Xenopus tropicalis: one gene and its partners. The protein of the gene in region 3 purifies or fractionates together with the protein of the main gene of each other region. This does not show direct contact. Links are inferred from orthologs where the notes say so. Each region holds a gene or a part of one and is shown on either strand. Other genes may lie near its edges.

Region 1 (3,500 bases), about 7.1 Mb from region 3:
TCCCCAGCCCAAATAAATGATACTGCTTTTAGTTATCCAATATGGCTGCCAGGCCCTAGTGCAGATCAGCGGATACAGAAAAACAGGACTGGCACAGGGGGAGGGACGGGGGGGCTGCTTCGCACACAAGTGACAAGACGGAGGTTATATAAGAGCAGCAGGAAGGCTTATGAGATCTCTGTCATGTGTATATATATATATATATGTAGTATACAGCTGTAACCGTGACAGCCAGAGCCGCCTAGGGGAGGGGCAAAAGGCATGAGACCCAGGTGGAAAAGCGAATCAGATCTCAAGATGAATTTTTTTTTGTTCCTTTCATATTTTTTAAAAGAATTAACCCGGCAACACAAACCCGCAGGTTAAAAATTGTTTTTTTTTTTGTGTTCTTCTTTAAAATGACATTGTACAGTGTGACTATAAAGAGTTAACCGTGACGCTCGTTAATTTGAATCGGACTCTTCCTAACGAATCGTCCCCGGGGGCAATTAAACCTGACTCTAAAAGCGAATGTTACGGAGGCGCGAGGGGAGGGGGGGGGGGAGTAACGTAAAGGCAACACCTGTGAAATGTTTGACGTCTCCTCCATCGCTCACACATTGTTAGGAATCAATTTATTTCTGGATATGGCTACACCAGCGACAGGATGATTTCTTGCTTTGTGTATGGGGGGGGGGGGGGGGTTCTTTCCTTTTCTGCATGCGTTGGTCTACAAGGCCACTTTCCCTATAATGACGCCGATAATGAAGAAGAGGATGACCAGTGCAAGTATCCGAGTGTTCACTCCTTCTTCTTTCGCGAGGCCGGAGACGGGTCGGTTGGGGCTGCTTGTGGGCTGCATCTTTCGCATTCTCAAACCGTCTTCTTCCTGCAACAGTTGCACAAAATTGTGTTACAACATGGGGAGGGGTGGCAAATATTCTTCTACACAGACATACCTGCCTCAACACCTGTCTTTACTAAAGGATTAAAGAAATATATCATGGTATAAATACATGGTCCCCTGGTCCTCATGGTTTCTAATATCCTTATCATTTACAGTAGGGGGTACATTATCCCTTATAATACATGAGTGATACTCAGAGTTCCCTGTATAACTCAGCCTGCAGCCTTGTGCCTTTATATGGGGGGCACAGAACCCCTCAGTGACTGCTAATATCCTTATCATTTACAGTAGGGGGTACAGTATCCCTTATAATACATGAGTGATACTCAGAGTTCCCTGTATAACTCAGCCTGCAGCCTTGTGCCTTTATATGGGGGGCACAGAACCCCTCAGTGACTGCTAATATCCTTATCATTTACAGTAGGGGGTACATTATCCCTTATAATACATGAGTGATACTCAGAGTTCCCTGTATAACTCAGCCTGCAGCCTTGTGCCTTTATATGGGGGGCACAGAACCCCTTAGTGACTGCTAATATCCTTATCATTTACAGTAGGGGGTACATTATCCCTTATAATACATGAGTGATACTCAGAGTTCCCTGTATAACTCAGCCTGCAGCCTTGTGCCTTTATATGGGGGGCACAGAACCCCTCAGTGACTGCTAATATCCTTATCATTTACAGTAGGGGGTACATTATCCCTTATAATACATGAGTGATACTCAGAGTTCCCTGTATAACTCAGCCTGCAGCCTTGTGCCTTTATATGGGGGGCACAGAACCCCTCAGTGACTGCTAATATCCTTATCATTTACAGTAGGGGGTACATTATCCCTTATAATACATGAGTGATACTCAGAGTTCCCTGTATAACTCATTATATGGGGGGGTCCATGCCGGTACCTTAAATTGCTTGTACTCCTCCCGTAGCCTCTGCATTTCTGTCTGCAGCCTCTTGTTTTCTTCCACCACTTTCTTATACTCAGAATCATCCAGATTGGAGCTTATTGATTTGGACAGAGAGGACTCAGTCTTTGTTATACTGCTAGAAATGACTTTGTTTATCTCTCCATCGAGCTGTGGGGAAAACACAAACAATAAAGTGTTAGGAAAGCAGCCGGATGTGACGCAAGGTTTCGGGATTCATATAAAAGTACTAATTGTATATTTCCTATTGGGGGAGAGCACAATAAAGATCACACAGCAGAGCAGCGGCTTATAAATACTGAAGGTAAATCTTCCATTGCTAAAGGCCACTATACCATAATATATGGGAGTCCTGTGCTCACAAGAGCTGGGAACAAGATGGAGGCAGTGGGACAAGATGGCGACTAACTCTTTATATTCATTTTGCCAAATCCGGTGACGGCATTTTTGTTGAACACACAGCTGGCAGTTGGACTGTCCCATTGTATATAATAAATGACAGTCAGTCAGTGTACACTGGGCCCTGTAGGACATGTAATACAGAAGGAGATAAAATACACGCAATGAAGGAGCAGAAGGAAGTTGTAACACTCACAGCTTTTTCATTCTCTGACGGCAGCTCAAACACACACCGGAGCTTGGAATCCATGAGGTCGTCTGGCTTTGCTTCTTTCCACTGTGGGAGAGAAAATGCCCCCGTTACAGAAATCAAGTAAAGAAGGAAGAATTTATATGTTGTGCAGAGAAGCGGTTTCCATGGGGCGCGGCCAAAAGGAAGGGTCTGTGGCTCCGACAATACTGCACTATGGGCGGGTAAACAGCATGGCACTAACATATCTGATATGATAGCACATAAACAGATGGTAGATGATAGACAGATAGGTAGGTAGGAAGGTAGATAGATGATAGATATAGATAGATAGCAGATGATAGATAGATAGATAGATAGATAGGTAGGAAGGTAGATAGATGATAGATATAGATAGATAGCAGATGATAGATAGATAGATAGGTAGGAAGGTAGATAGATGATAGATATAGATAGATAGCAGATGATAGATAGATAGATAGGTAGGAAGGTAGATAGATGATAGATATAGATAGATAGCAGATGATAAGATAGATAGGTAGGCAGGTAGGTAGATAGATGAGATAGATGATAGATATAAATAGATAGATAGGTACCTGATAGATGATGATAGATAGATAGATAGATAGATAGATAGATAGATGGTAGATGATAGACAGATAGGTAGGTAGGAAGGTAGATAGATGATAGATATAGATAGATAGGTACCTGATAGATGATAGATAGATAGATAGATAGATAGATAGATAGCAGATGATAGACAGATAGGTAGGTAGGAAGGTAGATAGATGATAGATATAGATAGATAGGTACCTGATAGATGATAGATAGATAGATAGATAGCAGATGATAGACAGATAGGTAGGCAGGTAGGTAGATAGATGATAGATATAGATAGATAGGTACCTGATAGATGAGATAGATAGATAGATAGGCACGTAGGTAGATGAGATAGATAGATAGGTACCTGATAGATAGATAGATAGATAGATAGGTAGGCACGTAGGTAGATGAGATAGATAGATAGGTACCTGATAGATAGATAGATAGCAGATGATAGACAGATAGGTAGGCAGGTAGATAGATTATAGATAG
Region 2 (3,500 bases), on a different chromosome or scaffold from region 3:
CAATTTGTATTTGCAGTGCTCTTACAGCCAACTACTGGCAAAATAATATTAATATAAAATGACACAGATTAATATAGAGCCATTATTTCAAAAACAGGAAATGCTGTTCTTCATTATAGAAACAAAGTCACCTCAACTTTATTGTTGTCAACTGCTGTGGAGTCTGCCTGCAACACATAACAGTAACCCAAAAAAAGTTACAGATTGTTGCACTTAAATCATTTTATGCTTAACAGTGCCATTTTCCACAAAATTATATTTACAGAATGTTTACAGTTCACAAATGCATCAGGACCAGCTCTTTGTAGTGTTTTCTTAAACTATTTTTCAGCATGTCTCAAGACAGTGCCATTGGTGACACCCTTTGTTATCATTTTCAGACAGTTTCACAGGATAAAAAGATATAAAACATAATGCCTCTTCTAGACGAAGAGGTTTTTAAACCTGAAGTGCTCATATTCCTAGTTTAAATTGACATTCCCTTTTCAGCTTTGGACGCTAAATCCAGTATGGCGTTTTCAACATTTATTGTAACATGAAAGGTTTTACATCAATATACTCATAAATAGTACAAATTTACATTCATGAGGAATGTTAAAAAAAAAAAAAATCCAAACTAAAAAACCCTCCCATCCACAAAAACAAAAAAAGTCCCTGGATCCAAGTGGACGTCTGAATGGAATTTACAGTTCATCTTTTACATCTGTGGATTCCTGCAGAAGGGAAAAAAAAAAAAAAAGCGTTAATAAATTTGAGCAAACTGCCTACTTAAAATTAAATCAAAATAAATGAACGTCTGGTTCTGTTTTCATTGGAAGGTTCCCCTCACTACACTGACCTTAAAATCATAATGGCACTTTACAGATTTAAAGTGTTGGTATACCACGGAAACCCTACCCAACACTATTTAGAACAGGTTTATAAAACAAAAAGATACCTCAGTGCTTCCTCCACCTCTATATAAGCAGTGATGTTGGGGGTTTAAAAACAGACTTATTTGGTCTATGAACTTAACTGCCCATCCCAAACCCTAGGCAAAGCAACAGGTGTGTACAGAAGTGATGGGGGTTGTTTCTGTTACAACATTTTTCTGGCTTCACCTTTCTGTGCGGAAACATCTATTATACCGTACATAGAGCTTTTAAAATTTGTATGAGTTTAAAAGGAGAACTACACCCCCCAGGTATAAAAGCCCCCTTAATTGGCCTGCATTGATCCCTCTTCCCTTCTCACATAACCTATAACTTTAAAAAGTGGCCCGATAGAAAAACCCAACCTAAAAGAGCAGTGCAGTGTACCCTGCTTGAGCATGTGTTAATGATTTCCGGCTAGCCCCAACTGCGCATGCTCAAGCAGTGTCTTTACTGGTGGTGAGACCCGAAGCAGTTTCTATTAAAGGGAAGATGGCACCCAGGTACCCTGCTCTGCTTTTTTAGGTTGGGTTTTTGTATAGGACTTTTTTTAAAGTTATAACATATAAAAAGATAGCAATGTGCAGTTTACCTGTGTGTCTGTTTCTTCGGTTTGTGTTTTTTCCTCAGCCTCTTCGGCATCAACCTCTTCCACATCTTCATCCTGTTCAGCATCATCTGCAGCAGGTTCTTCCTCTTCTGGTTCTTCTTCCACCTGTTTAGGAGGAAAAAAAATTAACAAATCAATAACATGTGAATTGTACTTGCTGGCGTATGATACCTGTACTCCATTTGCATCTGAACACCCTTTAGGCTGACAACTCCAAGGTTATCTAAAATCCTAAATCTGGCTCTATAGTTGGATGGGGTAAACTCCCATGGTGAAATAGCCAGTATGAGTCCATAAGAGTTCTGCAAACTTTACACCTGGCAACAAAACACAGTGACTGATAATTGCCAGTACTTTTTCTACTCTGAACCCAGTGATCATGGGAACTGTATACATTTGGCAGGCAGCTTCAGCTACAGTAGTTCAAACAGGGACTGCCCATTGAAGCACACTAAAGGGTTGTGTGTCACGGTTTATGCCAGAACTCAAAATATTTTAAATCTACATGCAGTAGGCAGATGATTTTCGGGGTACAGAAAATGTTTAAATATAACCGTTTTGTTGAATGGTGCTTAAAACTAAGATAGTAGTATTCATAATACTGCAGTTACCTGAGCATCAAGGTCAATCTTTAAGCTGAGGCGCAGCATTCTTTCAATCCTGTCTCCATATGATTTAGTATCAGGCAGATGATATCCTGAACGTAAGGTGGCAGTTTCAAAGAGTACAACTGCAAGGTCAGCTACAGTCTTATCGTCTTCATTTTCCTAAAACAATGGAGATATAGTAAGAAAATGATATACTTGCTCAGCTTTTAAAGCATATTGTGCAATGATACAATTACACATTGCCTCAAAACACAAGGATAACAAACTAAAAAAAAGCTCACCTTTACTCTTTGCAACATTTCCTTGATCAAAGGATGTCTTGGATTTATTTCAAATGTCTTCTTCTGGCCTGAATAATAACTAAAATGAAGTTTTATACAGTTAGCAATTTAATCATTTAACCAACTCAACCACCCATATATTTTCAAAAACTTGTGCCCAATGCCCACAGTTGTCAAATTGTTATTTTATGTACCACACCCACATGCCAAGCAGAATTTACAAATGTAATTTCATCTGTGCAGGCTGACTTTAGGCGGATATCCTTTACCTTTAGCTAAAAACTAGCTAGCTGCCAACAAAAAGAGCTGTGTATCTAACAGAAGGTCATTTCAATACATAATGGGACTTACTTTGTGGAAATATCTTTTCCTGTCTGATATGCTTGAGCTTTCATTATCCTTTCCATATTGCCAGACCAGCCATACTGACTGGCTACTAGTGCGCAAGGAGATTGTGTCAAACGCTGGGATACTACTGCTTTTTCAATCTTAAAAAAAAAAAAAAGATTGTTATGCAAGCATGGGAAATTTGTAGCATCTCTTTCCATAAAAAAAAAACCCCACATACCTGGTCTTTCAAAGCCTTTTCTTTCATCCATGTCAGCAGTGGTTCATATTCCTTCTCCAATGCTTCCCGTGCCTCCTTTGACTTTTCATTTTCATCAAACTTAAGGCCTTCCTTTGCAACATTTTGGAATCTCTTCCCATCAAATTCTGGCAGGGCCTGGATGCAATACTCATCAACTGGTTCAATTAAGAACAAAACTTCATAGCCTTTCTTAAGGAGGCGCTCAACAAATGGAGAGGACTCGACCTGGACAGCAGCACAAAAAATAAATAAATAAATTATATCACTTAATTACTACGTGTTTAATATTCTGGAATCAGTCACAAAAGAATACATTTGTAAACTGGTATGATACATATTTTGCATGGCAATACAGTTTGGAAACAGCAATTGAATGTACATCTATGACTATTTCTATGTGGGACACAGAAATAAGGGGAATCAAAGAATCTGCTCACTGGGAATCCCACATCTTGTAAGTGGGTATTAAGGTGTATCGATCATGCATTTAAACGCAACAAT
Region 3 (3,500 bases):
AGAATGAATTAGTTCAGCAATATAGTTCTAATGAAGAATTCATAGTTGCTAAGAAGGGAAAGACGTATACCTGGTAGGTGTAGGGGAATGCTTGGGGAAATGCAGTCTCCTTCAAAGAAACAACTGTCAGTCTCATCCTCGCCGGAGTGCAGTGGGTCATCAGTATATCTGTGTGGAGAGCCGCTCTCTTCATTTTGGGGTGGGTCAAACACATATTCCCCTTCGCTTAATGCATCTGAGCCACTGCCCCCCGACCTCTCTGACATGGTACGAGCCAGTGCAGCACCACTGGGGGCAGTCTCCTGCAGCAGCGCCTGCTCTGCCTGCATCTCTGTAGCACTCTGAGGGGGGAAAGGTGAAAATGTTGTAAGGTAAAAAGAATGGATTGGAAATAAATAAATGGGCAAGTTCAAATATAGGATTTAACATTTTTGGCTTTAGTAGAAGCTTTATCATTGTAAAGATCAATTGAAAAGTCATATGGTTTTTATATACAGTCACCTCTCTGAAAGCCCTTAATCGTGCCTGTTTAGATTTGTCTGTATATAGAGACATGTGCCTATTTACTAGCCATGGGGTTGAAGTTCTTTATATAAAGGAAAATGGCTTAGTCAGTAAACAATCAGGGATCTGCCGACTTAAAGACCCACGGCCATCATATACCACTGTGAATAGGTTCATACAGAAAGGGCAGAGAGGATGGGTAATACACAAAAGCCCACATACACAGTGCAAGGTATCAGGGGGGCCAGTACCCCAGAACAGCTACACCCCAATATGGCAGTTCAGGCCCCCTGCCTCAGCTGGGCCCCTAGATGGCAACCCTACATATACAGACATATAGTAAGGGGTATTAAGGGAACAGTTCTCTTTTTTTATTTGTCCAATGTAAATAGAATTTTACTGCAAATGTCATGCTTTATGTAAAATAAATGATATACTCAGATTTACTATCTGCCTATTTGACTATTTTATTTAATTAAGAGACATGGTTCTTGATTAATTGCTGATTTCATTTAGTAAAGACTTAAGGTGGCCATACACGGGCTGATTGTAGCTGCCGATATCGGCCCCTTAGACCAATTCAGCAGCTTATCTGCTCGTGTAGGGGCACAAACGACGGGCCTTCCCGACCGATATCTGGCCTGAAATCGGCCAGATATCGATCGGGCGGGTTAAAAAATTTAGTTGGATCAGGGGCTGCATTGGCTCGTTGATACGGTCCCCGAACCAACTGCACCTATTACTGGCGTTCTAATTTGATGGTTTGGCCTCAGGGCCAATTGACCTAAATTCATATTGGGAGAAGATCCGATCTTAACGTGTATAACCATCTTTACAGAATCCAGTGACTGGAGGCAGGCCTGGACTGGGATTCAAAATAAGCCCTGGCATTCCAAGTACACAGAGGCACAAACAGCCCCCCAGCCCAATAAATAGTGACTATAGCACCTTACAGCCCCCCTGGCATTCCAAGTACACAGAGGCACAAACAGCCCCCCCCCCAGCCCAATAAATAGTGACTGTCTGTGGCACCTTACAGCCCCTCTGGCATTCCCAGTACCCAGAGGCACAAACAGCCCCCCCAGCCCAATAAATAGTGACTGTCTGTGGCACCTTACAGCCCCCCTGGCATTCCCAGTACCCAGAGGCACAAACAGCCCCCCCAGCCCAATAAATAGTGACTGTCTGTGGCACCTAACAGCCCCCCTGGCATTCCCAGTACCCAGAGGCACAAACAGCCCCCCCAGCCCAATAAATAGTGACTGTCTGTGGCACCTTACAGCCCCCCTGGCATTCCCAGTACCCAGAGGCACAAACAGCCCCCCCAGCCCAATAAATAGTGACTGTCTATGGCACCTTACAGCCCCCCTGGCATTCCCAGTACCCAGACGCACAAACAGCCCCCCCCAGCCCAATAAATAGTGACTGTCTGTGGCACCTTACAGCCCCCCTGGCATTCCCAGTACCCAGAGGCACAAACAGCCCCCCCAGCCCAATAAATAGTGACTGTCTGCGGCACCTTACAGCCCCCCTGGCATTCCCAGTACCCAGAGGCACAAACAGCCCCCCAGCCCAATAAATAGTGACTGTCTATGGCATCTTACAGCAGCCCCTCTGGCATTTGCCAGAACCCACAGATTGCCAGTCCGAGTCTGACTGGAGGGACTCAGGATACTCATGTGTATCCTCAATAGTAACATTTTATTGATGATACTGTGCCCATAAACGTGTTAGAATCAGGAGTAGAGACATGTCTGTTACCCGCGTTGATGAAATCCTGCTGCGATGCTCGGAAGTAACATCCTCTGATGGGAAGAATCCCCTCTGGGGCACCAGATATTCCTCTGCATCCACCAGGTCATCCATCCCGACTTCCTGCAGCAAGGCACTGTAAAACTGGGTGGTCATCGGGCTCGCCTGAGCCAGGAACTCTTCATTCTGAGGAAGTCAATGAAAATGGTCAATACTTCAGCATCCCTTGCATATCAGTTCTGAGAATATTATTTAGAATTTTTATGGTTTTTTGGTTATTTAGCTTTTTGTTCAGCGTCGCTCTAGTTTGGTATTTCAGCAGCTACCTGGTTGCTAGGTTCTCATTTTGCTACCAACCAGTTAGTGTAAGAGTTTGAAATAAGCATAAAAGAGGGACTGAACAAAAAGATATGGAATAAAAAGTAACAATAACAATGAAATGTAGCCTGGCAGAGAAATAGTTTTTGGCTGCCGGGGTCAGTGACCCCCATTTGAAAGCTGCAAAGAGGTAGAAAAGGAAAGCAAATAACTAAAAATAAATAAATAAATAATAAATAAATAAAATAAAAATAATAATGAAGACCAATGGGTTTCCATATGACGGTTCCCATGCTTGTGCTTTAGCTGAGTGTATTCTCTTGCATTTATTGGGCTCATAAACTACAACTGTTTTGCTTCTCGTACCTCAATGACCACATAACGTGACGGATCCCGAGCCATACGAGAGAGTTCACCAACGAGGTCCCGAAACTTGGGTCTGAATTCTGAGTCTATCATCCAGCCTAAATGAGAGGAAAAATGAGAGAATGAAGAATCTGCAGGCAGAACTACAATGAGAGAACTGCATGGGCAATAGGAAACAAATGAAGGATTATTGAGGAAAGAGGGTTATTGGGAGTTTGTGGAGAAGAGAAGACGGTGCTATTTTTGACTTTAATAAATGGAAATATTTATTAATGACAATCACTTACACTTAACCATGATCATATAAACATCTATGGTGCAGACTGGCGGCTGTGGAAGCCTCTCCCCTTTTTCCAAAAGGTCCGGGATTTCTCGGGCCGGGATTCCATCGTAGGGTTTTGCCCCAAAGGTCATGAGCTCCCAAACTGTTACACCTAAACGCCAACAACACACCCAAGCATTAGGTACAGAGCATATTCTGGCCAACTAGTTGTATATGCTGTGCTTTCTTGCTTACCGTAGCTCCAGACATCACTCTGGTGGGTGAATCTTCTATGCAA
Region 4 (4,018 bases), on a different chromosome or scaffold from region 3:
TACAGTGCACATTAGTAGTAACTGCACACAGGGAAGCAGAAACCAAATACTAACTGTATTTACCAAAAGAATGTGACATATTTATATTATATATATATATATATATATATATATATATATATATATATATATATATATATATATATATATATATATATATATATATATATATATATATTACATATACATACATGTACATACACACACACACACACAGTAAACGTACAGAAAGTCACTGCTCATATTCAACATACCATGACTATGTCCATGACCATGTCCATGTTCTCCTTTTAAATGCCTCACAAACTTCTCAACAACAAGGAAGGCAATGATTCCAGCAAGGACCCAAAGGCCAACTGACATCATCTGGGAGTGGCTATGACCTGAAAGCAAGGAGGGAATATATGAGGAACGGGTCTAAAGAAGTCTCTTGGTAAAAAAGTGCAGCAAATTGAGATAAAATGGGGGAAAATGCTAGCAGCAAGGAGTAAAATCACTAGGTTGCATAGAATGGAGACAAAGATACTGAGGAATAGTTCACAATCAGAGTGCATGTAGAAACAATACAAAATTCAAGAGGAATTAACCCTACTGATGTGTATTTATACCATGGGTTGTCCTTAGCTGTTATGTATGGTAAAGCTTCAGAAATACTATCTGGCCTTTGAATACAAGTATGGGACTTATCCAGAATGCGCAGGACCTGGCATTTTCCATAATTTGGATCGATATACCTACCTAATCTACTAAAAAATATCTTAGTTGAGATCAAGTACAAGGTAAGGTTTCATTATTACGGAGAAAAATTAAATATGTTTTATAGTTCTGAGTTATTTGATTATAATAGAGTTTACAAGAGTAGTATTTTTCTCTCAGGCAATCTAACCCAAGTCAGGTCAGGGCCTGTTTGGCCTCTAAAGTAAATAGATCTGTGCTCACCATGAGAGTGTCCATGACCATGTGATTCTTCAGGCTCTTCAACTGCCTCGTGTACAGAATGTGGCTCTGTAGAGACATATGTAAATATGACTGTCAGACTACACTAAAAGCCATCACTTGAGTTGGATAAAAAAAGGATAAAGAGAAATAGATGACTGGGAACATAGCATACCAAGTGCATGAGGGATAAGGTGCAAGAAGGCGTCTCCAAGAAGCCCACCTGAGGCAAAGCTCAGAAGTAGTTTGAGCAGGGACTGGTGCTGGCTGCTATTAGACTGTACAGGTATCAGGAAGAGTATGAAGAAGGGAGCAGCTGATATCAGGAGTGTGGCACATATAGCCTAAGAAAGAAATTGTGTTAAAGAGTATATCTGGAGTATTGTACTGTAGAGCTAAGTGTATTAGAATGCAAAACCCTGCCACAGAAGCAGCAGTATAGCAGTGAGAACAGTCTTAAAATATATATAAAGCATGACATTGTACAATGGCATTGTATTACTAGACCTATCAAGGGTAATGGAAATAGAAAGTCTTTAGCCAGGGGCTACATAAACAGCAGAAAGAAACGTGACAACAATAAAGCAGCAAGAGAAAACTTTAGTACAATGCACGAGAATTAACAATAATGAATTATGGGCAGAAGCAGATGACTTATATTTAAAAAATATATTTTAAGATGAAATATGTATTTGAAATAACTATGAGACCGCAAGCTAACAATTGCTTTCTGGTGAAGTCAAATGAAATATATCTATTGTCAGGATGGTGGCACCAATGGAAAAATGTTACGCTTAGTCAGCGTTATTCAGTTGGTTACATCAGTGGAAAACATTATTTGGTTTAAAGAACACAACCTCAAACAATGGCAAAAGGGCAGGGTCCATATTACTAGTCCACTCGGGGTTAAAAAAGTGGGGAGAAACAGCTAAAGACAGTAAAACACCATAAAGCAGCAGTGCAAGAAAGCACCAGTAACTGAACGATGCATACTTACATATGTCCAGAGTTGCACAGGTTCCATTTTCTCTTTTGACCCATGACCATGTAGTAAATTATCTCCAGCTGCTGCCTCTCTTTTGGTGCGCTCCACTTCTATATGACTCTGCTCTTTATGATCCTGATTATGTCCTTGCTGGCTTTCCTCATGGCTGTGTCCATGGTGATCCTGATGGCTATGCCCATGATGAACATGGCTATGGCCATGGTGAAGATCCTCATGACTATGTCCATGATGGGAATGACTGTGTCCATGGCAATCATGTCCATGATGACTATGGCCATGTCCATGGTGACCATGACTATGGCCATGATGAAAATCCCCCTGTGACTGGGATAAGACTGTGTGCGCCAAACAACAGAACATCAAAATGGCTACCAATAAGGCACAACCAACACCACTTTTCAACGAAAACCGACCCATTTTACCTAAGAGAAATAAACATACAACAGTTTAGACACCCTAGTTACATCAGGCACAGCAACAAAAAGCATAACCATTTATCCCACATATCTAGAATTACATGCGGGATATTTTCTTTTTAAAGCATCCAACATAACCAACAGTCCATTAGAATTATGCTTGCTTCTCTGCTAGTCAATGCCCTATGGAATTCCTATGTAAGGAATATGAATGGCTTCTTTTTCTCAACCTCACTGCTTTCTCCATGTCAGTACTCTGTGCGCCTTGTATTACAGACCTGCTTTCGTGCCAATGTGCTTATAACCGCTGTGTAATTACCATTACCCCATTGTTCTATTACCTTCCCTGCTTCTCCTTTAACCACTGTGCGCCAAACCGGTACCCACTTCTACGTGGCACACAATTATCCGGTTCAAAATATCGCGTGAAAAGACAGACCGGAAACACGTCATCCGTCACTGAACTAGTAGTATACAGCGTGGCTTGCGTCCGCATCCTGTTGGGATTAAGCACTGTAGGCAATAATTCCCTGCTTAATAGCAGACACGCCTCGTTTGTACAAACCCGCCCTGTATCTTACCCTCTCTATGGTAGAAGACTTTCTAGCCTGACCTCTATTGTACGTGGATAACCGGTGTCATGGCGGCTTCCTGCAGGTTAAAGTCTATGCTGGCTCTGGTGACAGGTCAATCAAAACACAAACCGTATTAGTTGAAATGAAAGCTCCTTCTACTGTTCTTTTTGTGTAGCATATGTTGTCACGGAGAGATGCTTTGTGAGGGTCTCTGCAGAATTGAATGCACTGCTGTATTTGTTTAATAAACTTAACAAGTCTGTCATTTCCTTTAGCATTTAATTATGTAACTCTGTACTGACTGCTGTATCCTGAATAGATAGCTTGCATGGAGAGGCAGCAGAAATTGAACATGGGTTTTTAGGATATTCCCAATGAAAGCATTATTATGGTGTCATTCTGCCCTTGTCATCCCTTCAGGTCTCAACCCAGAGTGTTAAAGATACAGACCCACATGTGTTAAAAGAACCCATTACAACAACCTTTGTCTTTGCACCCAAAGTTCCCTTAGTTCATACTCCAAACTGTTCTTCAGATCTTTGTACATTTATTTTTGCTGCTCCCCACCCCCGCTTTGCCTAGTATGCAATTATATCTTTTTTTATGTAGGGATTGTTAATGTACATTAAAATGTCCAGCTGACTCCCATGACATACACATAGATGGGCAAAATGCAGTGATCCAAGCAATTGCCTCACAGGGTATTTTCTTGGGTCTGTCAGTGATTGCGTAGTGCCTTTCTGAGATAGTTGTTGAAACAATACACATGCCAGCTTTGGTAATTTATTCATAGTGACTGTTCAGTTGATCTAGTTGTGTTAAAAGTTGATCAACCAAATTGGAGGGCTACACAGTCCATTGGAGAAATAAATCTGTGCATGTAACCAGCTTTATCTTACTAAACACTTACTTTGATGTTTAGCTTTTTCTGTAATAGGTCTTAATGTATTATTATCCTATATGTATAAATCCAGAGGATTTAAATATTGCAACTCTGGTTATACAGAAATTGCTGCATAAATTATAGCCTTCTAATAGAAAAATGGGAATATTAATTTCATGTCATATCAACTTTTAAATAGTCT
Region 5 (4,028 bases), on a different chromosome or scaffold from region 3:
CACAGGGGGGATGCAGTTTCCTTTGCACATCTCACTTCCTGTCTCAGATAAAGGGAGACTCCTATAAAGGAATTGGGGTTCCATGGGAGGCTGCACGGGCAATAAGGTCCCATCATGTTTGGGAATGTGCAGCAATGGGAGAACTGGTATTTCTGCACTGAGATTCCCAACAAGCAACTGCCCCGGGGCATCAATTCTTACCCCTCCCCCAGGAAAACAGAATGGAGTGTAATATAATTGGCCTCTGGAGAGGAGGGTGTCTGCCCACAACATGGCCACAAACTACTGGCCTTCTCCTAGGTAACACAGCAACTGTGTGCAAGCTCTTGGGACCAGACACCCAGTAGGAGTCACTCCCGGCTCCAATGAGCATTGCAGGAATCCCAGGGCCCAGTGTCCAGCTATGAGAATGGGGCAAAAATGGGGCAGGAATGGGGCAGGAACGGGGCAGGGAACAAATCTACATTATGCCAAGTTACCCCCATCTACACCCCCCCAGGGAAAGGGCACTCTCACTGCCCCATAACACCCACCTCCCATTAACAACAGCACAATGTGCCCCCCATACACATACGCAGGCACCCCACACTGGCACCACAAGGGGCAATTCCTACATATACAGCCGGAGCCCAGTGTATCAGTAACGCCCCACCCTGCAGTAATGCCAGTTATACCCCCACCCTGCAGTAATGCCCCAACCTGCAGTAATGCCAGTTATACCCCCACCCTGCAGTAATGCCCCAACCTGCAGTAATGCCAGATATACCCCCACCCTGCAGTAATGCCAGATATACCCCCACCCTGCAGTAATGCCGCACCGTGCCCTGTACCCATGTAACCTACCCGCACCGTGCCCTGTACCCATGTAACCTACCCGCACCGTGCCCTGTACCCATGTAACCTACCCACACCGTGCCCTGTACCCATGTAACCTACCCGCACCGTGCCCTGTAGCCATGTAACCTACCCACACCGTGCCCTGTACCCATGTAACCTACCCGCACCGTGCCCTGTACCCATGTAACCTACCCGCACCGTGCCCTGTACCCATGTAACCTACCCGCACCGTGCCCTGTACCCATGTAACCTACCCGCACCGTGCCCTGTACCCATGTAACCTACCCGCACCGTGCCCTGTACCCATGTAACCTACCCACACCGTGCCCTGTACCCATGTAACCTACCCACACCGTGCCCTGTACCCATGTAACCTACCCACACCGTGCCCTGTACCCATGTAACCTACCCACACCGTGCCCTGTACCCATGTAACCTACCCGCACCGTGCCCTGTACCCATGTAACCTACCCGCACCGTGCCCTGTACCCATGTAACCTACCCGCACCGTGCCCTGTACCCATGTAACCTACCCGCACCGTGCCCTGTACCCATGTAACCTACCCGCACCGTGCCCTGTACCCATGTAACCTACCCGCACCGAGCCCTGTACCCATGTAACCTACCCGCACATCTCATACATTGCTCCTGTGCCCCCACAGTCTCTCCCATTTTGATGCTGTCTGTCTTTACACTGCTGTCTCTCCCATGTAGGCTACTGTCACCCCCCCCCCCCCCCCCATAAGCACTGTTTCTTCCATACACCCCATATCTATACTGCTACCTGTCCCATACTGCCCCCTCACACACTACTGTCTCTTCCAGAGGCCCCCCATATACCCTGTATCTTCCCTAACCCCCCCATATACCCTGTCTCTTCCCTACCCCCCCATATACCCTGTCTCTTCCCTACCCCCCATATATACCCTGTCTCTTCCCTACCCCCCCCATATACCCTGTCTCTTCCCTACCCCCCCCATATACCGTCTCTTCCCTACCCCCCCATATACCGTCTCTTCCCTACCCCCCCATATACCGTCTCTTCCCTACCCCCCCATATATACCCTGTCTCTTCCCTACCCCCCCCCATATATACCCTGTCTCTTCCCTACCCCCCCCATATATACCCTGTCTCTTCCCTACCCCCCCCATATACCCTGTCTCTTCCCTACCCCCCCATATACCCTGTCTCTTCCCTACCCCCCCCCCATATACCCCGTCTCTTCCCTACCCCCCCATATACCCTGTCTCTTCCCTACCCCCCCCCATATACCCTGTCTCTTCCCTACCCCCCCCCATATACCCTGTCTCTTCCCTACCCCCCCCATATACCCTGTCTCTTCCCTACCCCCCCCCCATATACCCCGTCTCTTCCCTACCCCCCATATACCCTGTCTCTTCCCTACCCCCCCCCATATACCCTGTCTCTTCCCTACCCCCCCCATATACCCTGTCTCTTCCCTACCCCCCCCCATATACCCTGTCTCTCCCTACCCCCCCCATATACCCTGTCTCTTCCCTACCCCCCCATATATACCCTGTCTCTTCCCTTCCCCCCCCATATACCCTGTCTCTTCCCTACCCCCCCCCATATACCCTGTCTCTTCCCTACCCCCCCCCCATATATACCCTGTCTCTTCCCTACCCCCCCATTTACACTGCTGTCTCCCCTAACGCAATACTGTCTCTTCCCATATTCACTGTCTAACACACTCGCTGCTGTCTCTGTCACCCCCCCATACTCACTGCTGTCTCTCCCACACTGCTGTCTCTCCCACACTGCTGTCTCTCCCACACTGCTGTCTCTCCCACACTGCTGTCTCTCCCACACTGCTGTCTCTCCCACACTGCTGTCTCTCCCACACTATTCACACAGAAGAGCCAGAGGCCATGTTGCCCAAGTCCCAGCTCACCCCGTATCCCATGGTGGCGGTCTGTTCTTCGTTTCTCGGTAGAGCTCGCCTCCCTCCGCCTGACACTGAGGTCGCAACGCGCCCGGCTCCAGTATTTATACCTCCGCAGTCCCACCGACGTCACCGCCTTCGGACGTCACCGTTACTAGTGACAACAGTGCCAGCCCCTCTAGAGCCAGCCCCGCCCACCAAGAATAAGATGGAGAACCTTGCGGTGCGTTCAGGGGGATATGCGTGTCACGTGTCCGGGGCGGGGCTGAGCGTGTAGCAGGCAGGTCACATGGGGGAGCTTGAGAGGAAAGATTCCATTATGGCGCCCCTTTAGCTCGGATTCCCATCGCTTCAGCTATCAGTCTAATTAATGGAAACCTTTCCTTCTCTCTGCGGCCCAGTGATGTACATATAGTAGCAACTGGGTGTAATGAGGTGTGGGACCCTAGAATCCCTCATTGTAATACATGGATTCACTACTACATTTTATATATAAATCTCCTTAATATATATATCTATCTATCTATCTATATACACACCACTTGTGTACAGGGAGTCTAATCCCCACACAGTACAACGGGGCCATTTCCCCAGCGTGTCGGCCCCACTCTGTTCCCCACACAGTACAACGGGGCCATTTCCCCAGCGTGTCGGCCCCACTCTGTTCCCCACACAGTACAACGGGGCCATTTCCCCAGCGTGTCGGCCCCACTCTGTTCCCCACACAGTACAACGGGGCCATTTCCCCAGCGTGTCGGCCCCACTCTGTTCCCCACACAGTACAACGGGGCCATTTCCCCAGCGTGTCGGCCCCACTCTGTTCCCCACACAGTACAACGGGGCCATTTCCCCAGCGTGTCGGCCCCACTCTGTTCCCCGCACAGTACAACGGGGCCATTTCCCCAGCGTATCGGCCCCACTCTGTTCCCCACACAGTACAACGGGGCCATTTCCCCAGCGTGTCGGCCCCACTCTGTTCCCCACAAAGTACAACGGGGCCATTTCCCCAGCGTGCCAGCCCCACTCTGTTCCCCACACAGTACAACGGGGCCATTTCCCCAGCGTGTCGGCCCCACTCTGTTCCCCGCACAGTACAACGGGGCCATTTCCCCAGCGTGTCGGCCCCACTCTGTTCCCCACACAGTACAACGGGGCCATTTCCCCAGCGTGTCGGCCCCACTCTGTTCCCCGCACAGTACAACGGGGCCATTTCCCCAGCGTGTCGGCCCCACTCTGTTCCCCACACAGTACAACGGGGCCATTTCCCCAGCGTGTCGGCCCCACTCT
Region 6 (3,500 bases), on a different chromosome or scaffold from region 3:
GATGGTAAATAAACTAAATATACACAAATATGAATTTTAAAAACAAGTTTTGACTTGTAAAACAAGGCTACTCCCATAACTGAAAAATTTTGAATTCAAAAGATAGTCTGGCAAGTCCAAGCAAGTATATTTCATAGAGGAAGCTTATTTAGTGGATTATTATATAAAAAAAATACACATACTGATAACTCTAGCTTTTCTTTGTAGATTGTATGCCCCCCCCCTCCAAACACACACACACACACACACACATACCTATATACTTTTCTGTGTAATTAGGCAGTGAAATAGTTCATGCTTGGTCATTGAAATGTATTGATCCTTGAAAAAATACACTAAACATGCTTAACACATTTTTAATACCTTGTGTGTCAGATTGGCAGATACCCTCTTTCCTACACACGCTTCAGCCTAACGCCTCAGACTGATGGAGATACTAGTCAAGTAGAAATGAAGCTTGCTGATGATGATGAGGAGTGTGGGGACCAAACCTTGGGAGAGCCTGTTGTGAAGCAAAGATCAGAAAATAACTGTAAAAGGATCTGCATAAAAATTCTTCTGGGGGCTTTCTTAATCTTGCTTGGTCAGTATTTGTGTATTTACTCTCCACACCTTCACACCTTCAGAATAATGACGTTTAAAATATAATATAATTTTTTTTTTTTCTTTCTTAACCCCACTGCAGGATTTCTTATTGGATATTTAAGTCACAGAGGGCGTGATTCCTCTGTGCAGTCAAACAATGCCAAAACTGTGGAGTGCTCTACTGCACAAGCAACACTTTCTAATGATGATGAGGATGAAACCAATTTGGCAGCAGAAATGCCCAGTGTGCTTCATTGGAGTGATCTGGCACCCATCTTAAACTTCAAGATAGATAATCTATTTCTGGAGGATACAATTAAGTATGTGGTTTATTCATTCTTTTTCTTTCTCTATTAATCTTGCTGAATGGTTGAACATTATGTACCGTAAGTGCTTTCAACAGTCCCTACATTTGTGAGTTAAGCAATACATTACAGGGATTACAGACAGTCTAAATGTGAGGTAATAGGCCTGGCAACAATTGTGAAGTTTAAAGCTAGCCATACATGCACCGATACAATCGTATGAAACTACGGATAACAGGTTAGAAAATTTCTGTCGAATACTGCTAAAATCTGTACATGTATTGTGTATCTGACGATATCCTTGGGGGAACTACAGTGCATTTCCAGGATGTCACTTTCGTACAAATGTTGCCTGCCAACTATTTCATGTACAGAACATCCTCTGATTTGTTATTTTTTAGGACTTTTATTCAACTATTCCAGTCTGAATGTTTGTTTTGGTTCAATATCCGAATGTTTGTTGGATGAAAACTGAAATCTGAATGTGTATGGCTACCTTAACAGGTTTAACATTTTGATTGGAGCCACACTAAGCTCCTTACCCAATTTGCTGGTGTAATTCCTCTGACTTTAAAAAGATCAAGTAGCTCAGTCATCTTGAAATTTTGGTACTTTTTCCCTTTTGGAAGAAAAAGGATAGGAATAATATGGGTAAAAATCAGGGGAAATGGCAATTGATCATATACCTTTCCATCCATTATTCATAATAAGCTAAATATTTTCTCCATCTCCTCTTTGTTAGGAAAATATCTAAGATTTCTCGTGAAGCTGGCACCAGTGAGGAAGAGAGCGTGGCCTTAATGGTGCATGAGGAGTTTGGGCAGATGTCCTTGGATAAAGTGTGGAACGATGAGCATTATGTTAAGCTACAGGAGCTTGGAAAGTGAGTTTTGAAAGTACCCCTTTAATTTTCCCACAAAGGTTATAATCACTTTTGTATATTGTATATTTTAATTATTATAGTACAACTTGCTGCAGTGGCTGCAGCATGCAGTAACAATTCTGTTAAATTTCTCAAAAAAAGGCATTGCTAAAGTGAGTCCTGAAAGGATGGGCATCCTATAAAGGAGAATGAAATGTTGAAAAACGAAGTGGCGGGGGATGCCAATTTGTTGGCCAACACTTTCTTAGCATAATCACTTTCTTAGCACTCATAAAGCATATTTGACTTTTTAAATTAATTAAAGCTTAAATTTTTACGAAATTTTAGAATCCCTAATTAATCAGCCATGCCTTTGTTAATTTTTTTTTTTTCCCTTAGCTCACCAAATAAAGTAACAATTTTGAGCAACAGTAACCGAGAAGAGACTTTGCAGCCTTCTGCGTATGTGGCCTACAGCCCAGCAGCAAGTGTAAATGTAAGTTGTCAGTTTGCATTTTTATACTGAATCTTGGTATTAAAATCTTCAGCTGGTATAGCAGAGATATCTTCAATTACTTTAGAAATACTGCACTTTGATTTATTATAATTAACAATTTTAGATTGTGTACTGTACTCAATATGCAAATTAGAATGGAGAGTTGTGCTTGATTATGGAGAAGGGAAATAACAGACTTTGAAGGGGAAGTTCACATTTAAATTAATATTTAGTATGGTGTAGACAAACAATTTGCAGGTGGTTGTCTTTTTTCATTGGGGGATTTTTTTTTTTTACTTTTAATGTTAGGCTTGGGAAAATTTAAAATAACAATAAAATTTGTAGTTTCACAGAGCAACTGTCTTGTCTGCTGGGGTCACTGACCCCACCTTACCCCCAAGAACCAGTATTTTTAATTGCAAGTGGGGGGAAAAATGCAAAAGAGGATGACCAATTGAAATGTGAAGGTTATCCCATAAACTCATTCCAGTATAATAGTGTGTCCATTGAAGGTGTTTCCTTAGGCTGCCTGTCCTGTTAGTGCAGAATAACCAGAAAATTATTTACCGGTAAGACTATAGCCTTGCTTCATACAGCTGTTAAAAATGATTAGGTTGGGATACGTTCAGAATTTAAAATGTTTTATACCTGCCACCTCAGTACGCCTTTTGTTGCTTGCCCCTCTGTATTTCTTACTTTGACTTATATTCTCAAGGGAAAACTAGTGTATTGCCATTACGGCCGAAAGGAAGACTTCCAAGCCATACAAGAAAAGAATATTGATCTTTCGGAAAACCTGGTCCTTGTACGTTCTGGATTAATCAGCTTTGCTGAAAAGGTAACTTTTTTGCAAATATAATGTTTTTTCTGTTGTGCCATCATTCTAGTTACTTTGCAATAACTAATACATCTCTTTTAAGGTTAAAAATGCAGAACTCCGTGGGGCAAGAGGAGTATTAATCTATCCTGAGGCATCTGACTTTACATTCCCAGGCAGCCAAACTGGATCTATAGATTCTCCTTTTGGACATGTAAGTAACACTTAGGGGCAGATTCATGAAATCACGAGTTTGAATCCCGAATGAGATAAATGCGGATTGGATACGAATTTTTTTTTTTTTGCGAAAAGATCGCAAATATCACGAAAATGCTTATGAAAAAATTTGTCACAATAATATTGTATTGGCAAACCGAAAGTCACGAAATTGTCGCACCGAACGATTGTAAACAGCGGGAAAACCTTTCCGATTTT
Region 7 (4,244 bases), on a different chromosome or scaffold from region 3:
CTTTCTGGATAACGGGTTTCCGGATAAGGGTGCGATACCAGTACTATATAGAACAAGAGGGCTAAACAAATGACTTTTGTAGCTTAGGGGAAAAAAAGGTAATAAAGAGCATTGTCACAAAGAAATTATTATCATCAATTTTTTGAAGCCCATTGGCTGACAGAGGCTCCCCACAACTGTTTGAATAGATTAGAATGGTGGGCCACCTGCCAAAGTCATAAGCAAAGACTGAGTCCTTAAATGGGGTTCTGGGTGCACCATATACAGTAGATATAACTCAGCATACATGAGCCAGAAAAGGGGGCAATAGAAGACTCAGAGAAATATGGACAGTGTGAAAGCCCAGCAACACAGACCAAACAGGAAGAATATTTTCATTAGCATGTTCAGGAAAGGTATCTCCTGGGGAATGGGAATGTGGAGAGCACAATGATCCCAGAGGGAAACTGAAAGCAGGGGTGAAGCTAAGCAGTCAACATTTTATCTGTGTGGGTAAAAATATTAAAGCCATATTTTTGAAATTTATCTTAAAAGTTAATATGTAGTTAGTATTACATGTATGGGAAACATTATCTGGAATGCTCGGAACCTGGGTTTTTTGGATAAGGGAGCTTTCCCTAATTTGGGTCTCCATACCTTAAGTTTACTAAAAAATAATTTAAACATTAATTAAACCCAACAAAAACTGTTTTGCTTCAAATAAGGATTAATTATATCTTAGTTAGGATCAAGTGCAAGGTACTGTTTTATTATTACAGAGAAACAAATATATTTAATATTTTGAATTATTTCATTAAAATGGGGGCTATGGAAGATGGCCTTCCTGTAATTTTGAGCTTTCTAGATAACGGGTGGCCGGATAATGGATCCCATACATGAACCAGTTATCTGAGCCCTCAGTAATTTTCAATTCAGTACCTGTAATACAGAACACAGAGTACCTATACAAATTCCCACCTACAGCCTCCCTATGAACTGCGATAGAATTATCACAATACCATGGGGAACCTTCTTCAGCATTTATGAATATATAGAGTATAAAATATGAGCCATGAATATCCTGTAAATTATATATTTATAAGAGGAGCTTAGGGATTTCACAGTGATAATCCATGCCTAGTGCAGTAATTTGTGTCACATGACTGACAGACGTGTACTATAAAAAAAAATGTAACCCCGTTGTAAAATATGAAAATATTATAAATCACCACAGAATTTCTTAATGACTTCATAAAAGCACTCAGCCTGTGGCCTTGTGCCTTCTTATAGTTGTGGAACTATTTACTATAATGGCAGTGGCACACAGCGAGATTAGTCACCCCGTGACAAATCTTTGTTGTCGCGGGTGACTAATCTCCCCGCAATGCCATCCCACCAGCTTGAATGTAAATCGCCGGTGGGATTGCAAACGCGTCGCTGCGATGTTTAGGAGTTGCCCAAAGTTTCTTCTCAAGAAACTTCGGGTGACTTTGGGACATTGCAGCGACGCGTATGCCATCCCACCGGCGATTTACATTCTGGCTGGTGGGATGGCATTGCGGGGAGATTAGTCGCCCGCGACAAGTCGACTAATCTCCCAGTGTGCCACTGCCCTAGGGGGTACATTATATTCTATCTATTGTCTAAAGTTGGATCCCCCACCCAAACAGAGCAAACTGCCAAGCCCTCATCTTAAAAATCTAGTATAAATAAATTTAAAGCAACTGGACTTGTTTGGTAACAAGTCCAGTTGCTTTAAATTTATTTATACTAGATATACCATGACCTGGATGAATGAAAACCTTCATAGACATCATCTTAAAAGGGATATAAACCCCCAAACAACACTTTGCATAAAGACAGTGTAATTTAAGCAACTTTTTTCCAAAATACATTCATTAAAATTTTCAGTGACCTAATAATTATTAATGTTATTTCTATTAAAAACATTATCCGTCTCTCCCTTACTGTTATCTATGTCCAGGCATGGACTGGCAATCTGTGGATTCTGGCAAAAGCCAGAGAGGTTGCTGTAAGATGGCATAGAAATGCCAGGGCCCATTTAGAATCCTAGCCCAGGCCTGTCTAGGTCTGACTCAGTGCAATAAAAGTCAGCCATACATGCCCCTCTTCACAGGTCTCTAATATGTTGGCTTCTACTACAAATGTTTTATGTCAGAACTGGCAGGGCAGAGAAAATTTACATTGACAAATAACATTAAAACCTGAAAAATGTGTCAGTAACATACATGGTTGCACAGAATTGCAATTTATTTGCTAGGCTGCTATATGTTGGAAGCGGTACAGCAGACCTTTCCAGCATATTTTGACATTTATAAAATGATATAGCTGCTAGGGACAGCCTGTCGCAGAGAAGCTAACTACAGCACCTTCTGTTCTCCATTAGAATGGATGATTTGATGATGATTTGTTCATTAGTGCAATTATGCCATGGGGCCTTAACCTGCACTAATGTAAGCTGGGCAAAACTGCCCCTTGTTTATGTTATTATGACCTGTCTGTAGGACAACAACCTCATGTCACCCAGAGCCAGGGGGCAAGCTCAGGTTACTAGCCACAGCTTACAAGGTTATGGGTTACTCATCTCACATGGCAATAGTTTTCAGGTCAATGGTTCTATGGAAGCCTCACCTCGTTCTCTCGCCTCTGTAACTTCTCCTGCAACACGGCCCCCGTCAGTCCACCTTCCGCTCCCTGCTCGGAGCTAAATGCTCGATACCTCAGCTCTGTTCTTTGCCCCAATACCCGCAAAAGTCGCACCGACCTCCCGCACACGGGCACCAACGAGGCCGCCATCTTTCCTCCACAATTCACCAGTAACCTCACCCAATCACGGATTAGCCGGCTGCACCGCTAGCCAATCGTCAACTTGGAATGTATTCTGACAGCAAATAGCCTGCTGGCAAGGATAGTAGGCCAATCGGAGACCTAAGATAGAAAAAACTTATCCAACAGCAACTGGACAATTTGACAGATGTGCCAGAAAAGATACGATCGTCGCAGGGTGTTTGTGGTCTCCATATTGAGTGTGGCAAAGCGGGAATTGAATAAGGGAGGGGGTAATAAATAAGAGCAAATAAACTAGGGGATGCTGCAGCTGCAATGTTTATCAAGGTCTGAACTTGACTGAAATACAATAAGCTGTTACTCTGTACTACTATTACGTGTGAGTTTGCGTTAGAAGCTTATGTAAAGGGATTGCGTTGTTTTAGCCAGACATAGATGTGAAGGGATATAGAAGAAGAATTTCAATGTTTTCATAGCCATGAATCACATCTCAGTATCTGCTGTCAGTACATGAGCTATAGTTATTGAAATGGTTACTGATCAAAGCCACCAGCACAAAGCATTTTGAGTTAGAGATCATGTAGCTCGTTATTAAAAAGCACTGTTTAGTTATTACTGGGATTTACAGTACTGATATGGGACCTAAATGCTCGGCACCTGGGGCTTTCTGGATAAGAGCCTTTCCATAATTTGGATCTCCATACCTAAAATATACTGAAAATGTATTTAAACATAAACCCAGCTTATTTTCTCAGATTTTGGTCTTTTGTCAACCCATCAAGCACAAGGTACTGTTTTATTATAACAGAGAAAAGCTTATTGTTACAAATAAAGTGTATGGGAGATGGCTTTCCTGTAATCCTGAGCTTTCTGGGTAATGGGTTTCTGGATAAGGGAACTCAGACCTGTACAAGGCACATTTATCACAGGAAGTTTTGTGAAAGATGTTATTGGTACAGTTTTTATTGTTAAATTGCATATGCCTGGTTACACAAAGAATTCATACAGAGCAAAAATCTTAATAAAATAGGTTTATTTTGTATGAACAACATAGCAAACAAAACTTTATAACAATTATTTACTGTAAAAAATATGTAAACAAACTGGCACACCACACAACAAATAATCTTAGGCTGTATATATAATATTAGTAATGTTTCCCCCTGGGCATAAATAAATAAAACATAATATTTATATAAATATTAATATAGCATACAATACATTTGCATAAATAAAAAAATTGATTGAAAACCTTGTGCAACACTATGGTCCATCAAAATGCAAGTCTGAGGCAGTGCATTTTAATATATTTCCATTTTACAGGACTTTTATGCATTAAAACTTGTGTCTGTCCACGTCCCTGCTTACCTTTTTAAGCTCCCCTCATTATATTTTGCAAATGCCTAGTGGGCACCACTACCGGTTTGAATATACACAGGTCAGTGCTTGATGGGAGG

What was found.
Region 1: the proteins of erbb2 (region 3) and vapb purify together in Homo sapiens (affinity purification with mass spectrometry; 3 studies listed by BioGRID and IntAct, with this or other methods). This does not show direct contact. The link is inferred for Xenopus tropicalis from reciprocal best matches to the Homo sapiens genes ERBB2 and VAPB.
Region 2: the proteins of erbb2 (region 3) and hsp90b1 purify together in Homo sapiens (affinity purification with western blotting; 3 studies listed by BioGRID and IntAct, with this or other methods). This does not show direct contact. The link is inferred for Xenopus tropicalis from reciprocal best matches to the Homo sapiens genes ERBB2 and HSP90B1.
Region 4: the proteins of erbb2 (region 3) and slc39a7 purify together in Homo sapiens (affinity purification with mass spectrometry; 3 studies listed by BioGRID and IntAct, with this or other methods). This does not show direct contact. The link is inferred for Xenopus tropicalis from reciprocal best matches to the Homo sapiens genes ERBB2 and SLC39A7.
Region 5: the proteins of erbb2 (region 3) and atp1a1 purify together in Homo sapiens (affinity purification with mass spectrometry; 4 studies listed by BioGRID and IntAct, with this or other methods). This does not show direct contact. The link is inferred for Xenopus tropicalis from reciprocal best matches to the Homo sapiens genes ERBB2 and ATP1A1.
Region 6: the proteins of erbb2 (region 3) and tfrc purify together in Homo sapiens (affinity purification with mass spectrometry; 3 studies listed by BioGRID and IntAct, with this or other methods). This does not show direct contact. The link is inferred for Xenopus tropicalis from reciprocal best matches to the Homo sapiens genes ERBB2 and TFRC.
Region 7: the proteins of erbb2 (region 3) and timm50 purify together in Homo sapiens (affinity purification with mass spectrometry; 3 studies listed by BioGRID and IntAct, with this or other methods). This does not show direct contact. The link is inferred for Xenopus tropicalis from reciprocal best matches to the Homo sapiens genes ERBB2 and TIMM50.

The regions. Positions count from the first base shown.
Region 1 is NC_030686.2:2,725,218-2,728,717, reverse strand, and holds part of vapb (vesicle-associated membrane protein-associated protein B/C), read right to left. Parts: intron 2,493-3,500; coding exon 2,412-2,492; intron 1,967-2,411; coding exon 1,793-1,966; intron 869-1,792; coding exon 710-868; 3' UTR 670-709; exon of another isoform or gene 1-669. UniProt on the Homo sapiens protein: Endoplasmic reticulum (ER)-anchored protein that mediates the formation of contact sites between the ER and endosomes via interaction with FFAT motif-containing proteins such as STARD3 or WDR44.
Region 2 is NC_030679.2:49,296,943-49,300,442, forward strand, and holds the end of hsp90b1 (endoplasmin precursor), read right to left. Parts: intron 3,225-3,500; coding exon 2,979-3,224; intron 2,899-2,978; coding exon 2,762-2,898; intron 2,490-2,761; coding exon 2,411-2,489; intron 2,289-2,410; coding exon 2,133-2,288; intron 1,627-2,132; coding exon 1,504-1,626; intron 714-1,503; coding exon 684-713; 3' UTR 110-683; downstream 1-109.
Region 3 is NC_030686.2:9,808,464-9,811,963, forward strand, and holds part of erbb2 (receptor tyrosine-protein kinase erbB-2), read right to left. Parts: coding exon 3,458-3,500; intron 3,375-3,457; coding exon 3,228-3,374; intron 3,039-3,227; coding exon 2,941-3,038; intron 2,443-2,940; coding exon 2,266-2,442; intron 342-2,265; coding exon 71-341; intron 1-70. UniProt on the Homo sapiens protein: Protein tyrosine kinase that is part of several cell surface receptor complexes, but that apparently needs a coreceptor for ligand binding. Essential component of a neuregulin-receptor complex, although neuregulins do not interact with it alone.
Region 4 is NC_030684.2:72,029,295-72,033,312, forward strand, and holds the start of slc39a7 (zinc transporter SLC39A7), read right to left. Parts: upstream 2,801-4,018; 5' UTR 2,700-2,800; intron 2,672-2,699; exon of another isoform or gene 2,637-2,671; intron 2,365-2,636; 5' UTR 2,360-2,364; coding exon 1,934-2,359; intron 1,281-1,933; coding exon 1,112-1,280; intron 1,006-1,111; coding exon 940-1,005; intron 384-939; coding exon 255-383; intron 1-254. Other genes in the region: hsd17b8 (estradiol 17-beta-dehydrogenase 8), read left to right, coding at 2,999-3,044. UniProt on the Homo sapiens protein: Transports Zn(2+) from the endoplasmic reticulum (ER)/Golgi apparatus to the cytosol, playing an essential role in the regulation of cytosolic zinc levels.
Region 5 is NC_030678.2:1,071,709-1,075,736, forward strand, and holds the start of atp1a1 (sodium/potassium-transporting ATPase subunit alpha-1), read right to left. Parts: upstream 2,801-4,028; 5' UTR 2,763-2,800; coding exon 2,751-2,762; intron 1,732-2,750; exon of another isoform or gene 700-1,731; intron 654-699; exon of another isoform or gene 1-653. UniProt on the Homo sapiens protein: This is the catalytic component of the active enzyme, which catalyzes the hydrolysis of ATP coupled with the exchange of sodium and potassium ions across the plasma membrane.
Region 6 is NC_030681.2:102,796,953-102,800,452, reverse strand, and holds part of tfrc (transferrin receptor protein 1), read left to right. Parts: intron 1-375; coding exon 376-583; intron 584-685; coding exon 686-905; intron 906-1,632; coding exon 1,633-1,773; intron 1,774-2,151; coding exon 2,152-2,248; intron 2,249-2,963; coding exon 2,964-3,086; intron 3,087-3,168; coding exon 3,169-3,279; intron 3,280-3,500. UniProt on the Homo sapiens protein: Cellular uptake of iron occurs via receptor-mediated endocytosis of ligand-occupied transferrin receptor into specialized endosomes. Endosomal acidification leads to iron release.
Region 7 is NC_030684.2:81,747,692-81,751,935, reverse strand, and holds the start of timm50 (mitochondrial import inner membrane translocase subunit TIM50), read right to left. Parts: upstream 2,801-4,244; 5' UTR 2,797-2,800; coding exon 2,632-2,796; intron 1-2,631. UniProt on the Homo sapiens protein: Essential component of the TIM23 complex, a complex that mediates the translocation of transit peptide-containing proteins across the mitochondrial inner membrane. Has some phosphatase activity in vitro; however such activity may not be relevant in vivo.